Linked DNA regions of Saccharomyces cerevisiae S288C. Changing the gene in region 1 together with any one later gene gives a genetic interaction. Each region holds a gene or a part of one and is shown on either strand. Other genes may lie near its edges.

What was found.
Region 2: mutations in IMA5 (region 1) and NCR1 together harm fitness more than expected from each alone (negative genetic interaction), as found in Saccharomyces cerevisiae (2 studies listed by BioGRID).

What each region holds. Positions count from the first base shown.
Region 1 is NC_001142.9:22,193-30,756, reverse strand, and holds IMA5 (oligo-1,6-glucosidase IMA5), read left to right. Parts: upstream 1-4,670; coding exon 4,671-6,416; downstream 6,417-8,564. Other genes in the region: hexose transporter HXT8, read right to left, coding at 2,161-3,870; REE1 (Ree1p), read right to left, coding at 7,028-7,624; YJL218W (acetyltransferase), read right to left, coding at 8,194-8,564. UniProt on the Saccharomyces cerevisiae protein: Alpha-glucosidase with specificity for isomaltose, maltose, and palatinose.
Region 2 is NC_001148.4:542,835-552,589, forward strand, and holds NCR1 (sphingolipid transporter), read left to right. Parts: upstream 1-1,796; coding exon 1,797-5,309; downstream 5,310-9,755. Other genes in the region: transcription factor TFIIIC subunit TFC8, read right to left, coding at 1-1,014; AEP3 (Aep3p), read left to right, coding at 5,652-7,472; lipid-binding protein LSP1, read right to left, coding at 7,798-8,823; ULA1 (Ula1p), read left to right, coding at 9,186-9,755. UniProt on the Saccharomyces cerevisiae protein: Involved in sphingolipid trafficking. May recycle sphingolipids between cellular membranous compartments.

The DNA.
Region 1 (8,564 bases):
AGAGACGGTTAATCAAATGCTCGGAAACAGGATAAATGAGGACATCTGCACAATCGGGTGTTACCGCCTTATCTTGTTAGCAGTGGCTATAATCACTCCAGAATATGCCGTCGTGTTGGTGGCATAAAAAATTCTTTTTTTGCCATATAAGAATATCCAAGTTTAGGAATGACGCAAATTCGACACCAGGAATAATTAACGAGTTAATTCTCCCGACCCTCAAAATTTGAATAACAGTGCCCTCTTCTATCTGTTCACCACGGCACACAAACGGTTTGGAAAGATGTTGCTTTGGGTGTGAAAACTTTATTTATCACTGCTTTGCCATCACAATGTCTGTGATTTGAAGACCAGCTACTTCTCATTTAAAATAATATCTTATACGTACCATTGCTTCCTTTTCTGTAAGATGATCAACTACACGTCATCCTGAAAAGCAACATCACTAACAACTTGAGGCTTTAAGTCCAAACTCAATGTTGCAACAAGATGGTTTAAAGCAGCTCTTAATCAGTAGAAGCGAATATCAGCAGTAGACTTTTTGGCACTAGAAAATAAACTTCTTGAGTAAATTCTAGAGATACCTGCCTAGAAAACCCCCCTGAAGAGCCAATTTAGGTAGGAATTGTAATAAAGGTCTCAAGCTTGTAGGAGAATTATTTTTTTAACCCGCAGCAACAGTATTGTCACTTTCTTCTTTTACGACGTCATATTTTATAAAACGAATCTTCTCAACCTTTTTTAAAATTCCCAGTTGTCTACTTACAAATAATGACGTTCGTGTAAGTTTAGAGACTATCGGCACGCTCTAAAATGTGACTATATCGATATCGATTTGGCGGTTTTCACCAATAACAAAATGGGTGAAACATAGCTGAATTTTCTGCAATTCTTAGAATCCTATTATGAAATATTGGGGCCTTGAGCATTAAACCGACACCCGAACAAATTGAATATTTCGAAAATTGTTCTTTTCGATGTCATTTTTACCAAAAGTTAGATAGGAGATGACCCAGCGGTTACCTGTATTTCAGAGGTTACAACAAATTAAAGCGGTCTTATATTACTTTAGAAGCACCAACTTACATATTCTGGATAAACAGTATTTCTAACTTACTACTAGTTTAGTAACACATGTTCGTTACAGATAAGCCATTCAAAGATAATTAAAATCAGTTGCGCCATTATTAAAGGCCGAGAAATATATCAAGGTTTTCAGCTTAAAGGGATTTGCTGACTTTCTTATGCACTAACGCGCCAACATCGTCCTTTTAAAAATTAAGTCAACTCATCGCTTAGCGCTTAGCGCTAATGCTGGTCTTCCTCGAAGAGAACATGCGTTCGTATTGAGATATAAGTAAATATTGTGGTAATTACCGGAGTTTCATTGTTAAAAAAGAGTATGGAATTATGAATACAGAATAGGCCAGGAATTTTCATGAGACTATGGGAAATTGCCAAGGGAATCAATAATTCCACATAATGTAATTTTTCTTCTTCCTTTCTATGTGCCCTCGTTTATTTCCTATTACATTGCTACTCCTTTTATTTCAGCTTTTATTAATTCTGAAATCATTAGTAATATAAATTCTGGGTTAGGAAATCATAATTGATCTCATTCCAATGCACTAGAATACCTATGTACACACGAAAGTGCTTAAGTTATCATATGACGAACAGAGAATATCATATGTTCCATTTTTATTTTTCTATAAACAAAAGTTGCGTATTATTGTATTTTTTTGTTGTGTTATGCAATAAGCAGAGGCTACGATGTATTAATTAATCGGTTCCTCAAAAAAAAAAAAAAGTGATCTATAAAGCGTTGACGATAATCAATACTTTGTTATATTTTGGTAGTCCTGACGGGTTTCAAAATAAACAAAGTTAACAATCCGCCTACTAATTTGATTTGCTTTTTTTCATGGGCAGTAACATCAAGAAAACACTTTGTTGTTAAGCCCATCTAAGTATCATATTACCAAATCTTCTGTGAGTAAAATGATATAATAGGACTCAACGTGACTGTCAGTCTTCAGTAGCCCTGGTGTTTAATATATCGAATCAGTCTTAGGAATTAAAAAGCCCCTATATTACAGAGGGCATTGGACATTATTTATCAATGTACTTTGAAGTTTGCTTGCGTGTGTTTTCACCGGTCTAAAACATTCTTTTGTAGAAGGGTTTCTCGTCATGCTGTAATTTTTCGTTATCATAATCACCATCCCTTCTAGAAGCTGGTACCCAGGATTCAGATTTCCAAGGTAATACACCGTCCATCCACATCTCATCAACTTCTTCTAAAGTTAGACCTTTTGTTTCTGGAACAAAGAAAAAGACGTAAAAATATGAAAACGCTAAGCAACCCATGAAAACGTAACCGTAGTAGAAATTAATTGCCGAAGTAATAAAAGGAGTGAAAAACCCGATTAGGAACCCCCACAATAAGTTGGCCGCTGTTGCAACGGACATACACTTGGATCTCACCCTTAATGGAAATGTTTCAGAAATAATCACATAACATACAGGTCCCCAGGTGCAGGAAAAGCAGAAAATGTAAAAACACGTGAAAACAATCGTACAATTACCAGCACCTTTAGATGATGGTTCACTTTTACCGTTCGGATATAGTCTTGTGACGCCAACGGAGGCGTAAATAACCATGCACGCCGTCATGGTGGCTGCTCCAAGTAAAAGACATCTACGACGGCCCAACTTATCAACAGAATAAAGTGAAAAGAAGCAAGAAGCAAAATTCACAATACCCAAGACAATTGAAGTCTCAAAAGAGTCATTCATACCGACAGATTTGAAGATAGTAGTACCGTAGTAGAAGAAATAGTTGTCACCGGTTAGTTGCTGCAGAGAGTTAATCATGACTGTCATCGTTAAACGTTGAAAAACTTTAGTCTTTCTCGAAAATAATTCCTTCCATGAAGCAGTTCCCATTGCTTCTTCTGCCTCCACACCAGCAACAAGAAGATCAATCTCTGCAACCACAGCAGGATCGTCAACACTAAGCTTGTTCGACTTGGCAAAAGAAGCTTTAGCTTGCTCAATCTTACCGACTTGCACCAAAAACCGAGGAGATTCCGGAACAAACGTCATACCACCAATCATAATAATAGCCCATGCAAAACATAGACCAAGCGGAACACGCCACTGGACAGAATTCGAGTAAGTCTTGGTACCATAATTGGTACAATAACCCAAGAAAATTGCGAAAGTCACCATCAATTGCCAACAAGCTAGCAACGTACCTCTGATATGCTTTGGCGCAGTTTCCGAAATAAGCATCGGGGCAAGAACACTAATGGAACCAGCACCTATACCAGCGATAATTCTTCCAATAAAATACTGATACCACTTATCTATAGAGGCAATTTGAATGACAATACCAACCATATAAACGACAATAACTATAATCAAACCCATGCAGCGGCCGTAAATATCACCCAATTTAGACAAGAAAAGACAGCCAATGGCGCTTCCCACATTGAAGATGGACACAATCAACCCAGTTCTCACATTAGATAAGTAGTAAGTGTTCTTGGAATGGCTATAATTACCAAATCTTCTTAAAAAATCAGTCTGATTGACGAAACCAGAAATCGTACCTGTGTCCCAACCGGACATAAATCCACCGAAAGCCATACATAAACACATGATAGAAACAGTAGCATAGGCTGAAGCAGGCTTTTCTGGAACAACAACTTCCTCTGCCTCTTCCCCATTATACTCGGAAAAGTCCTTGTTTTCCTCCACTGTAGGTACTGACAGATGTGAAGAATTTTCTATCGAAGGGCAGCCATCATCTTCTGCCTCTTCGAAAATCGGTTCTTCTGGCAAGTTGGTTTTACGATCAGTCATGGTTTTTGCTGGCGTTCTGAGCTAACTAAAAGTGACTTATAAAAAATGCAATCTAAAATAAGAATGAAACAAAAATGGTCGTTTAAATATATCTAGTCAAGCTTCATCCCTTACAATGGTTAGCGATGATATTCCGTCGTCCAAAAGATTACGACCATGCCAGTTCATATTATTTTACTTAAGAGTTCATGTCTTTCATGCGAAGAAGCGTTCGGAAATTCCAAAACTTCTTAGAGTTCAGGAACAGGCCCGGTCGCGGAATTATTCTCGGGATAATTCCAGCCGCTTGGCAGGTAGGCTAAATTACACATTTCAAGAACTTTCTCCGGCCTTTTCTGTGAGATACGTTTATAAGTTGCTGCAGCAGGATGCTCTAGGCTGCTTTCTCTGGAATTTCTCTCCTTCTCCACATACCTCGTTGTTGAATCCCCGCGGAGGTGATATAATAAAGTTGCGTGAAAGCGTAAATGCCTAGACGGAGAAAAGAAAACGGGGAAATAAACTTTGCATTATTTTTCCTCCGTGGAGAATCCTCGGAGAAACACGGGAATATTTGAAACTATTTGCAACATTGTCCATTGAAATAGTCACAATCCTAGAAGCTAATTCACCGGAAAAAGTAATTCACACTTAAGAATTGTATCTTCCATTACCGCTACGGTAATTGATACGGTTTTGAGGAGTAAGTTCATAAACGTCTGACGAATTATAAATTAGGACACTTGTTCACATATCTTGGTGCGAAAAACTACTGTTTCTTGATGACTATATAGAAAGTGCTCAATATTGAAAAGAAAAACATGACGATCATCCATAATCCTAAATGGTGGAAAGAAGCCACCGTCTACCAAATTTATCCTGCTAGTTTCAAGGACTCCAACAATGACGGATGGGGTGATTTAGCTGGGATTACCTCCAAACTTGACTATGTCAAAGAATTAGGTGTCGATGCGATATGGGTGTGCCCATTTTATGACTCTCCTCAAGAAGATATGGGTTACGATATTGCCAACTATGAGAAGGTTTGGCCACGTTACGGTACCAATGAGGATTGTTTCCAAATGATAGAAGAAGCTCATAAGAGAGGTATCAAGGTTATTGTTGACCTGGTTATCAACCACTGTTCTGAAGAGCATGAATGGTTCAAGGAGAGTAGATCTTCTAAGGCTAATCCAAAGCGTGACTGGTTTTTCTGGAGACCTCCAAAGGGTTACGATGAGAAAGGTAATCCAATTCCTCCCAACAATTGGAGATCTTTCTTTGGTGGATCTGCTTGGAGATATGACGAAAAAACTGGTGAGTTCTTTCTGCATGTGTTTGCTCTTGGCCAACCTGATTTCAATTGGGAAAATGAAGAGTGCCGTAAAGCCATTTATGACTCCTCAGTGGGCTATTGGCTACGTCACAACGTTGATGGCTTTCGTATTGACGTAGGCAGCATGTATTCTAAGGTTGAGGGCCTACCCGATGCTCCTATCACTGATCCTACAGTTCCTTACCAAAAAGGAACTGAATTTTTCATAAATGGGCCACGTATCCATGAGTATCATAAAGAAATGCATAACTACATGCTCTCGCAAGTTCCAGAGGGTAAAGAAATCATGACTGTTGGAGAAGTTGGTATCGGGAATGAAGACGACTTCAGAGTTTATACCAGTGCCAAAGAAGGAGAACTAAATATGATGTTCAACTTCAAGCACACCTCAGTAGGTGAAAACCCAAAATGCAAGTACGAACTTATTCCCTTTACTTTAAAAGACTTTAAGCTGGCTCTTGCTGAAAGCTTTCTGTTTATCGAAAACACAGATTGCTGGTCGACCATCTATTTGGAGAATCATGATCAACCTCGTAGCGTTTCGCGTTTTGGCTCAGATTCTCCTAAATGGCGTGAGATTTCGTCCAAGATGTTGGCTACTCTCATCATTTCATTGACTGGTACTGTTTTTATCTACCAAGGACAAGAATTGGGTATGCCCAACTTCAAAAACAGAAAAATTGAGCAAATCAAATGCGTTGAAGGTACTGGTACATATGCCGCCATTAAACGTGATTATGGTGAAGATTCTGAAAAGATGAAAAAGTTTTTTGAAGCATTAGCTTTGATCTCTAGAGATCATGGGAGAACACCATTCCCATGGAGTGCTGATGAGCCTTCTGCAGGTTTCTCGAAGGATGCCAAACCATGGATTGACATGAATGAATCATTTAGAGACGGAATCAACGCAGAAGCTGAGTTAAAAGATAAAAACTCAGTCTTCTTTTTCTGGAAAAAGGCCTTACAAGTTAGAAAGGAGCACAAAGATATCCTTGTTTATGGACATAACTTTCAGTTCATTGATCTTGATAATGACAAGCTATTCATGTTTACAAAGGACACAGATAACAAAAAAATGTTTGCTGTTTTCAATTTCAGTAGCGATAATACGGACTTTTCAGTTCCTGATAATGAGGCCTCCTACACCATGTTTTTTGGCAACTATGCAAACTCAAATGGTGATTCCCGCACCTTGCAGCCATGGGAAGGAAGACTTTACTTGTTGAAGTAACGAGCACATTTAACATAAACGTACTGATCTTTCGAAACAAATAGTTATGCCGATATTTATGAATAATAAACTTGTATATTTCTTTTTACTTTTGCTTTTCATATGTGAGCATTGGATACTTAACTTACGCTGTACGCTATTTTCAATTGCAATTTATATATGTATATAGAAGACAGAAAATTCACTGAACCTTTTTCCGAAGAAATATAAAATAAAAAGCAACGTACAGCAGAAAAATAGAAAACATCATTATTACTGTTTCTATTGTCTAAATTTAGCCCTTTAAACCCCATCATCATAAGTACTAATTACCACGAATTCAATAATTAGTAAATACATTCGACTATTCTCACCCTAACTTTCGTCACTTTATCTTAAAACACTAGCTAAAAGTCGTTTATTATAACAAAACTAAAAATTTCGTAGTATGCACGCCTTATTGCCCAGTATTTTGTTAACTGTATGGATTGTACTAGTAAAAAAAATCTTGACGAAATTGAGTATAAACAAAATTTTAAAAAGCATAGTGCCAAATCAACAGATCTTAGTGAGGTGCAGGCCTTGTTCTTAACAAAAGCAAACCCCTCTTTATATATTGATATATAGGTGAACTAACTCAAATCATGTAAAGCTTTTCCTAAAGGAGCTGTGAGACTCCATTCCGAGAAAGTAACTTTCAATCCGCCACGCTCAGGTGTGCAAGCCATTGGTCCAACAAGGTAATGGTCAGAAGTTGGAAATGGAGCCAAACGTACTAACGGCCATGTTTTTTTATCAGAGGACACCTGAATCCTCAAAACGCCCTTTTCAACAGTAACACGAAGCCAGAAATCGCGAGCATTTCCGCCATAAACAGCAGTTGACCAATCTGATTTTCCATTTGTCAAAACACTGCTTAGCATTGCGTGGCCATCAGAAATTTCTATGCCAGCTTTGAGCCAATGTCCATCATCTATACGAACCATGATACCAGCCTGATCATAAAGACTCTCGTAGCTTCCCTGAACACGGACTTGTGCAGTAAAAGCACTACCTGTCTCTACTCCCAAAAAATGACCGCTATCACGGGTAAATCCGTAAAATGTTTCACGCCAAAAGTCAGTTTTTTCATCTGTTTCCAGAGTGACTTTTCCTGCCTCTTGAAAAACAGATTTTGGCTTATTGAGCCATGTTCCTTGCGATAATTCAGTATTCTTAGATTCGACCATTGTGTTTGGTAATTTATCTTGTTTGATGGAGAAGCCGTCACTTGGACTTTTGTTAATATTAGGTCAGGTTAAATACCTAGGAAATCTGTGCGTATAGGATCATCCCTTTCTAACTCCATCGAAAATGTTACTTGTTTTGTTCGAGGCTATTTGATGACCCTTTCATATGGACGCATGCAGGTGGCCATATTTTCAGTTTAAAGTTTCTCCGCATGTTAATTTGCGCTGAAAAATTAGAACGGTACTTATTTCCCCGAAAATTTCTCAAATCCGAACATAAAGCTACCAGCCACGCGTTTTCTATACGGTTGGAACTTGAGCAGTTTTACATAAGTTGTAAACTATAATTTTCTCCTCGAAGATAGATTATACCAGAAAGAAGCTACTATACACAGTCGAGTTGAGAATGAGCAACTTAAACCAGAACATATACCAATAATTAATAATCTCTCTGCGTATTTAGTCGACTAAAACTGAACTAGCTTTTTATTTATTCTTATAAGAAAATACGGTACATAATCATAGAAGACAACACTTGCTTTCGATAATTCCTCCAGAAAGTGGATCCATCATTTTCGATAGTTTGTAGTTGTACTATCTTTTTCAGTGATCTTTCTTATCACCTTACAAGGATTACCTGCTGCCACTACATTTTCTGGTATGTCACGAATCACAACACTACCGGCGGCAATCACGGAGTTTTTACCTATATTTACTCCAGGAATTATTGACACTCCACCTCCAATCCATACATTGTCTCCAATGGTCACAGGCATGGCATATTCTAATCCTTGAAGCCGTCTTTCCACGTCAATTGGATGACCTGCCGTATAAATACCAACATTAGGGGCGATAAATACGTTGTCACCGATGACTACCTTGGCCCCATCCAATATAACAAGATTGTGATTGGCGTAAAAGTTGTCTCCGATATAGATGT
Region 2 (9,755 bases), on another chromosome or scaffold:
GAGAGATATTCCGTGTATGACAAGAGTTGTTTCATAATTATTGAATTCATTCCAAATTGTGCTCCATTTCTTGAATTTCTTCTCTAAGTAAGGCGCGATAATATTATCAGCCGTCACATGAAGTTCGTCTTCTAGTAAAACTTTATAACTAGTCTTATTGGACATCAATAATATCGTGCTCTCTTTCTCATGATTCAATGGGATTATATGAAAATTTTCGAGAGATCCTGTTTTCAAGCTAGAAATTGAATAATTTTTTAAATCTATCTTATGCACATATCCGGGACAAGTTAAAACCACCTTATAATCCACTATCTTTAAATCAGTAATTTTTCTTCTCGAAGCATTTTGTATCATTCTAGAAACGGGTTGATGAGAGGAAGCAGAAACTGTCATTGAAAATACAGAATTGTTTGAAAGCGCCGCTACAAGAACGTCTTCGTACCATACTATATGAGTGACCCAGTCTTTTGAGCCTGCGTCACTTAATCTAATACTACTCTCAAAATAAAATTCTGGAGTATTTTCTGAATTTTTGCGAATGCTAAAGAATTGAAGCTCACCGTCTTCATTACCAACCACGATTGATGATTCAATAGGATTCCATTCAAAACAATGGTAGGTTCTGCTACTTAAGTTTCCTTTTGAATCGAGATTTGTGAGCATTTTGTTATCTTTGAACACAGAAACATTACCATTATTGCTCAATACGGCCATCCAATCGTCTATTGGTGATGGCTTACAGACTCTGGGATAACAAACAGGTTGTGAATTTAATAACCCATTCTGTTGCGCCAGCTCGAAATCCAGTTTATTTTCAAATTCTAGCGGGAATTCTTTCACATGAAATAAATTCTTACTGTTGCAATTAATGTCTTTAGCATATTTTGGCTGCCCAATGCTAATATCAGGAAATGTGGTCAAATATAGAGTACCATCCCGAGCCCATGTTAAATTGTTCTTCCAATCCTCAAATTCCTTTCTATCTACCAATAAGTCCTTTAGAAGCTTCATTATGAATTGAATTGGCTTTCCTAACTCCTAACAAAGTTAGTCATGCTGCTTTTTTCATTATATATAATTCTGTCTAATCATTGTTTAGATCTCATTATTGAGAAAAGTGCGTTGCGCGTAAGAAACAGAATACACTTAAGGTGCGAAATGACGGAAGAAATACGCCATTTAAAGCCTTCCAATACGAAGCAAAACTTCAAAAGCAAATGCTGGGAAGTTGGATTATCTTTGGGAAGGTCTATTTCCTTTTTTATTGAAATAAATCATTCAGCTAATTGCATACCGTGGCTAATGTCACAACAGATGTAAGCAACAATTTAATCTTACATAAATGTGTTGCAGTTGTGGTATTTCGTAATATATACGCAATGATTCTCTCCTATTATTGAACTGCTATGCAGGTATTCGCTACATTGTTTTTCTACAGGCAGTCGTCGACATAAATAACTTGTATAATCATTTAAGCGCATCCCAGTAATTAACTATTACCGAACGATAGAGTAGTCAAGATATTCTCTTCCCATCACTAACATCAAGAGCGCCACTTTTTGGCAATTAAACTAGACTTCTGGATGGCGCTAGCCCATTACCTACAGTACTAAAGATTATTTGCGATATTCTGATAAAGAGCCTTGAACTTCTCGGGTGACCCCCTTAGCGTTTATATAGCGGGAGTGCCAAACGAGAGGAACATCAACAACCAGTATAACAACGTTCTTGTGTAGAAGATAACTAAATTCATCTCCAAAAAGAACAAGAGCAGAACTTCAATTAGTAAAACCATGAATGTGCTATGGATTATAGCACTAGTTGGCCAGCTGATGCGGCTCGTTCAGGGAACAGCTACCTGTGCCATGTATGGGAACTGTGGGAAAAAGTCAGTATTTGGAAACGAATTACCTTGCCCTGTGCCACGTAGTTTTGAACCTCCTGTTCTTTCAGATGAAACAAGCAAACTTTTGGTTGAAGTTTGTGGTGAAGAGTGGAAAGAGGTCCGTTATGCCTGCTGTACTAAAGATCAAGTGGTAGCACTGAGAGATAACCTACAAAAGGCTCAACCTTTAATTTCCTCATGCCCAGCATGCCTCAAGAATTTTAATAACCTGTTCTGTCACTTCACTTGCGCTGCTGACCAAGGAAGGTTTGTCAATATTACCAAGGTAGAAAAGTCAAAAGAAGATAAAGATATTGTTGCGGAATTAGACGTTTTCATGAATTCGTCTTGGGCATCTGAATTTTATGACTCATGTAAGAATATTAAATTTTCTGCTACCAACGGTTATGCGATGGACCTAATCGGAGGTGGTGCTAAAAATTACAGTCAATTCTTGAAGTTTTTGGGGGATGCTAAACCTATGCTTGGTGGATCCCCCTTTCAGATTAATTACAAGTATGATTTAGCAAATGAAGAAAAAGAATGGCAGGAATTTAATGATGAGGTTTATGCTTGCGATGATGCTCAATATAAATGTGCGTGTTCTGATTGTCAAGAGTCTTGCCCCCATTTAAAACCTTTAAAAGATGGCGTGTGTAAAGTTGGCCCTCTGCCATGTTTTTCCCTTTCTGTTCTGATCTTTTACACAATCTGTGCACTTTTTGCATTTATGTGGTATTATCTCTGTAAAAGAAAAAAAAACGGGGCAATGATTGTGGACGACGATATTGTTCCAGAATCAGGTTCCTTAGATGAATCAGAGACGAATGTATTCGAAAGTTTCAATAATGAAACTAACTTTTTTAATGGTAAACTCGCTAACCTATTTACGAAAGTGGGACAATTTTCCGTTGAAAACCCCTACAAGATATTAATAACCACTGTTTTTAGTATCTTTGTATTCAGTTTCATCATATTTCAGTACGCTACTCTTGAAACAGATCCAATTAATTTGTGGGTGAGTAAAAATTCTGAAAAATTCAAAGAAAAAGAGTACTTCGATGATAATTTTGGGCCATTTTACAGGACAGAGCAAATATTTGTTGTGAATGAGACAGGCCCTGTGTTATCATATGAGACACTTCACTGGTGGTTTGACGTTGAAAATTTTATTACGGAAGAGCTACAATCGTCAGAAAATATTGGATACCAAGATCTCTGCTTCAGACCAACAGAAGATTCTACATGCGTAATAGAGTCTTTTACTCAGTATTTTCAGGGGGCCTTACCAAACAAGGATAGCTGGAAAAGGGAACTGCAGGAATGTGGGAAATTTCCTGTAAACTGTCTACCTACTTTCCAGCAACCTCTAAAAACTAATCTTCTTTTCAGTGACGATGATATTCTCAATGCGCATGCGTTTGTTGTAACACTTCTATTGACCAACCACACTCAATCAGCTAATCGCTGGGAAGAAAGATTGGAAGAGTATTTATTGGATTTAAAGGTCCCCGAGGGCCTGAGGATCAGTTTTAATACCGAAATATCCTTGGAAAAAGAGCTTAATAATAATAATGATATCTCGACCGTTGCAATATCATACCTGATGATGTTTTTATATGCTACATGGGCCTTGAGGAGAAAGGATGGGAAAACTAGGTTGTTACTTGGAATATCTGGTTTACTCATAGTTTTGGCTTCTATTGTTTGTGCAGCCGGATTTTTAACTCTTTTTGGTTTGAAGTCGACATTGATCATAGCAGAAGTAATACCGTTTCTAATTTTAGCAATAGGAATAGATAATATTTTCTTGATTACACATGAGTATGATAGAAATTGCGAGCAAAAACCGGAGTATTCAATTGATCAAAAAATAATAAGCGCTATCGGGAGAATGTCTCCTTCCATTTTAATGTCATTGCTATGTCAAACCGGATGCTTCTTGATAGCTGCATTTGTTACAATGCCAGCTGTCCATAATTTTGCTATATATTCCACAGTTTCTGTTATATTCAACGGAGTATTACAGCTAACAGCGTATGTGTCCATTTTGTCTCTCTACGAAAAGAGATCCAATTATAAACAAATTACCGGAAATGAAGAAACTAAGGAATCATTTTTGAAAACGTTTTATTTTAAGATGTTAACGCAAAAGAGGCTCATAATCATTATCTTCTCGGCTTGGTTTTTCACATCTCTGGTTTTCTTACCAGAAATTCAATTTGGGCTAGATCAAACATTGGCTGTTCCACAGGATTCCTACCTGGTTGACTATTTTAAGGATGTTTATAGCTTCCTAAACGTAGGACCACCGGTTTACATGGTCGTGAAGAATTTAGATTTGACTAAAAGACAAAACCAACAGAAAATATGTGGTAAATTTACAACTTGCGAAAGAGACTCATTAGCTAATGTACTGGAGCAAGAAAGACACAGGTCAACAATTACGGAGCCATTGGCTAATTGGCTGGACGATTATTTCATGTTTTTAAATCCTCAAAACGACCAGTGTTGTAGATTAAAGAAGGGAACAGATGAGGTTTGTCCTCCCTCTTTTCCAAGTAGACGTTGTGAAACTTGTTTCCAGCAGGGTTCTTGGAATTACAACATGTCAGGGTTTCCTGAGGGCAAGGACTTCATGGAATACCTAAGCATATGGATTAATGCGCCTAGTGACCCCTGCCCTCTAGGTGGTCGTGCGCCATATTCGACTGCGTTAGTTTATAATGAAACGAGTGTGTCTGCGTCAGTTTTCAGAACAGCTCATCATCCTTTGAGATCCCAAAAGGACTTTATCCAGGCGTATAGTGATGGAGTTAGGATATCAAGTTCTTTCCCCGAACTAGATATGTTTGCATACTCGCCGTTTTACATTTTTTTTGTTCAATATCAAACTTTGGGACCATTGACGTTGAAGCTAATAGGGAGTGCCATTATCCTAATTTTTTTCATTTCATCTGTTTTCTTGCAGAATATACGCAGCTCATTCTTACTGGCTTTGGTCGTTACCATGATTATCGTAGATATTGGTGCTTTGATGGCCCTACTAGGTATCTCACTCAACGCTGTCAGTTTAGTCAATTTAATTATTTGTGTCGGTTTGGGTGTCGAGTTTTGTGTTCATATTGTTAGATCATTTACAGTGGTCCCCAGTGAAACCAAGAAAGACGCAAACTCAAGAGTTCTCTATTCCTTGAATACCATAGGTGAGTCCGTCATCAAAGGTATAACTCTAACCAAATTCATTGGAGTTTGTGTACTTGCATTCGCCCAATCGAAAATATTTGATGTATTTTACTTTAGAATGTGGTTTACACTAATCATTGTAGCAGCATTGCATGCTCTCCTATTTTTACCTGCTTTACTTTCATTGTTTGGTGGTGAAAGCTATAGGGACGATTCCATCGAAGCAGAAGATTAGCCATAGCAGATTATACTATATTTTACGTAGTGAAAAAATAGGTAAAAATTCGTTAATTATTCTGATGCCACACCAGAAAATCTGTGGGAAAATTTTTCGAGTCAGAAATGATAACACTAACACAGGCTTCGTTGTTATCGTGCATTGAAGTTAGATACTTCTACTATATTTAATCTTTAATAGTGTCATAAAAGTATTATTGGTTTCGGGCGAAAATCGTCATTTTCGCACACAGAACTTCAAAAGAGGAAAGGCCAAAAGAACTAAAACCGATTACTTCGGGGTGATTTTGTTCTGGCATCTTCTGGCACTCTTGGGCATCCTTAGCCATTTAGTATATTTATGAATACATTAAGGTGTTTGACACAAGCACTATCCAAAAGTGGGAGAGAAGCTCCAAAACTATATCAGAAAGTAATATTTCCAGGCCTGTTCAGAGAGGGTATACCAATTGCAAATGTCAAGAAAGTTGATGAAAAAATAATAGATAGCCCAACATCAACGTCAGTTAATGGAGAGGCAAAAAAAATAGTACGGCATGGTGTGAAGTATGAAAGGGAGCAAGTTAAGGAATACCTTTCAAGCCTGCCGACTTTAACGCTTTCTAGGAAACAAATTAGGGATGACTATGATGAGGAACGTGCAAAACGAATGTATATGTTCTCTAAACAAACGAATTCCTCGAATAAATTCCAGAAACTTCTTACAGCAAAGTCTCAAGAGTTTACTAGAGAACTATTGACGCTACTGATAGATTGCACATCGAATGAGAAGAATTCAGGGCCAGAACGCTTCACTCGTAAGTTTCTTAAGTTTAGTAATGACGAGATCCCTCCTCTCCCTGACTTTTCAAAGAACCCTCAATTGTTTGAAAATTATATTGGAATACTAAGTCATACAAAGTTCAATTTTCGTTCATCTTCCAAACTAAATGGTATTGTGCGTAAGATGCTGCGGCACCTACTTCATCCAACCAATAAGACGACTCTGCCGTTGCGTTCTGCTCAAGTTTATAATGACTCAATATACTTTTTCAGTGAGCACTTCGACTTTGCGTCTTGTAGAGAAATATTTGCACAAATGAAGGCTGAGGGGACTAAACCAAATACAATCACTTTTAATCTTTTACTGCGTAATGTAGTGAAAAACTCGCATATTAGAAAAACGAAGCACCCTGACGATGAGGTCCTTTTTTATCTTAGAAGTATGCGTAATCATGGAGTTTTTGCAGATGTAATAACTTGGACGACATGTTATAACTTTCTTCGTGATGAAGTTTCGAGACAATTGTACATTGTTCAAATGGGTGAACATTTAGGAAATTTTAACGTAAATTTTGTTTATACTGTGCTAAGGAACGGAGATTATAGAGCAGAGGACTGTTTAAAAGTTTTAGCAGCAAATTCACTACCGATTTCCCGTAAGACGTTCTATCTGTGCATAGAACGACTACTAAACGAGGAACAACTTGAAACCGCATCTAAATTACTTGACTATGGTTTTCAGCACTTGAAAAGTAATTTTAAGTTGGACTCGGAGGCAATGAATCATTTCATGCGGGTATTTGCTAATAAGGGAAGAAGTGATTTGGCATTCCTTTGCTATAATACTTGTCGTAAGATTTACAAAATTAAACCTGATTCTCAGACGTTCGAAATGTTATTTAAAGCGTTAGTTAGGAATGGCAACACCAAGAATTTTGGGGCAGTCCTACAGTATATCAAAGACTTAAAGGTTAGTGAAGGATTTGGATTGCGGACAAGTTATTGGAGAACCAAAGCAGACTCAATTTTCAAATTTGGTAGTCCTAATACGCTATCAGAAAAGTCAATTGAAAAAGCAAGAAAATTGTTGGGCAACCTGATTGCTTCCGAGGGTGAGTTCTCTTGGAAAATTTGGAAAGAAAGTGATTCTTCACAAAAAAAAATACTACGTTTTTTGGGTTGTATCCCCACTACTTTACGCTGCACCAATACAGCACAAGATCATCAGAAGCCCACAAACCTACCCTCAAACATTTCCCAGAAAAAAAGAGAATATCGAAATCGGGTTAAAGCAATAGCCACAAAGGCTGCTTTGGAAAAAAGAATGGCGTATATCAAAGACAATGATGTAGCTTTCAAAAAAGAGCTAGTAAAGAGGAGAATAGTTGGGGAGGTTTGATGAGGGAGGCATAAGTGCCCTGGCATTTGGACAGGAATTTTATTAATATAGGCATTTTTATTGTACATATATACTTCATAGATCATATTCATTTAATTAGACTTCGAAAAGTTGAATCTCTTACGGCAAAGGAGAACAAGAGAAAGGTTAATTATTAGGTCTTATAAAATTTGTTCAATTAATTATAAAGGTGATTACAATACCGGAATATTGGCCGAACAATACTTGAACCAAATTCAGATGAAATTAATAATAGGTAGACACGAGCTGGTGAAAAACAAGCACAATATAGAAAGGTTCGAATATATTAATTATTAGAAAAAACTCAGATGTTTTCAGAACCGGAGGTATGACCGTTTTGACTAACATGATGATCGGCCTCATGGGCTTCATCATCTACAGGAACTTCAGTAGTCCATTCAACTTCCTCTTCTTCGACTACTTGACCGGGGATATCTCCATTTTGGATTTCAGGTTCTTCTTCTTCTTCACCATCTTCGTCTTCATAGACGTCATCAACGGTCTGATGAAATGAAAGAGTTGGTTTGACTGCAGCCATGTCTAGGGTCCAAGATTCCAAGGCCGATTCAGCATCCATAATAATTTGGCGAGAAGCTTCATAGCCATCGTACGCTGGTCTAGCTTCACCTGGAGTGACAGGAGAGTCATCTAGCAGCTCCAATAAGGCCTTTCCGTATCCAGCAATCAGGGCAAATTTTTCAGAAAGCTCTCTTAATGAATCAAACATATAACTATAAGCAGCCTTTAATTTTTCACGTGTGATATTCGATAATTGAGCCTCCGCAACCAAAGATTCAGCTTCGGCACGAACTAGTTCTTGCTCTAAAACTGGGATTTTTGTTGATTGAGGATCTTTATATTTCAAATGGGCAATTTCATCTGTGATCTTTTCCTTACGATCTCTCGAAGGTTGAACAGAGGCTTCAATGTTCCTAATTGATTTTAATGTGACTCTGTATTGATCATATTTATCGATGAACTGGTCCTGTAGTTCACCCAACTCATATATTAAGACGCCTAATTTGTCGGTTACGTCGGAAACATCATCATCATTGTCAGCACCCCATAGAGACAGTTGCTTTGCAGCTTCACGGCGTTCGCTGGCAACAACTTCCATAGCTCTAAGGACACCTTTTTCAGTCTTAACCAATTGAGATAATTTACGAGCCAACTCTGGCCCAAAGTTACCAGCCGCATTTTTTCTAAAACTAGACGCAATAGAGGCCTTTCCGAAGAACTTGGACTTCGTTGAGGATGGTGGTGGTGGAGGAGCTTGTAGCTCAGCAGCCGTTGGAGCTCTTTGATTTCTTAAAGAGTAAGTTCTGTGCATTCTTGTGTTGGAGCTTTGAAAGTTTAATCTTTCGTATACCAAATAAAGAGAATTTACGGTCAAGCATTGGAATTGAGGAAAGAGGTTAACTGATTTTTTTCTTTTCTATCTCACCTGTTTATATATTGCGATTTAGCCGTTGCATCTTCCCGGTTTTTCCGTCTTTTTTTTAAAGGGCCCCTTTTTATCCCCTCTAACGCCTTTCGCAATCCCCTTTTCACTCGGCTGCAACGAGCGGGGTTGTAAGAGCTAAGCTTTCTAGCCTAGCAATGAAATAGAAGGACAAGTCAGACGATTGACGTCAAAAAAATGAGTCGCCTCTCTTTCTTTCTTAGGCCAACTAGACAGCCGTAGATGAAAATATGGAAAGATATGATAGACAGCTGAGACTATGGGGAGCATTGGGCCAAGATAGTTTGAACCGGTCCCGTGTGTGCGTGGTAGGACCTGCTACACCTTTGCTGCAGGAAGTTTTTAAGAATCTGGTGCTTGCCGGAATATCATCTCTTACTTGGCTCAAAGTAGAGTGTGCAGTTCAATCGGGTTCTCTGTTTTTAGCAGAGCTTAAAAAAGATCTTGAGCCATTGGCTTCTAAACAGCTAGAATATGAGGAAAATGACCTTAGAAAGACGTTACAGCAACCTCAGTATGATTGGACCCGCTTCTCGGTGGTGATCTTGACTTGTATTGGTGAGCAAACTGCGATGCTCGATTTAAATGAGATTAGGCGGCAGAGAGGAACAAAGTTTCCGCCTGTTCTAAACACTTTCGTCTCTGGATTTTATGGATATATATATCTGGTACTCTCAGAAACACATTTTGTTTTGCAAGCACACCCAGATAGTAAGAAGTATGATTTACGGTTACAGAACCCTTGGCCTGAACTAATAAATTACGTAGATACATTTGACCTAAGTAAAATGGATACAGCC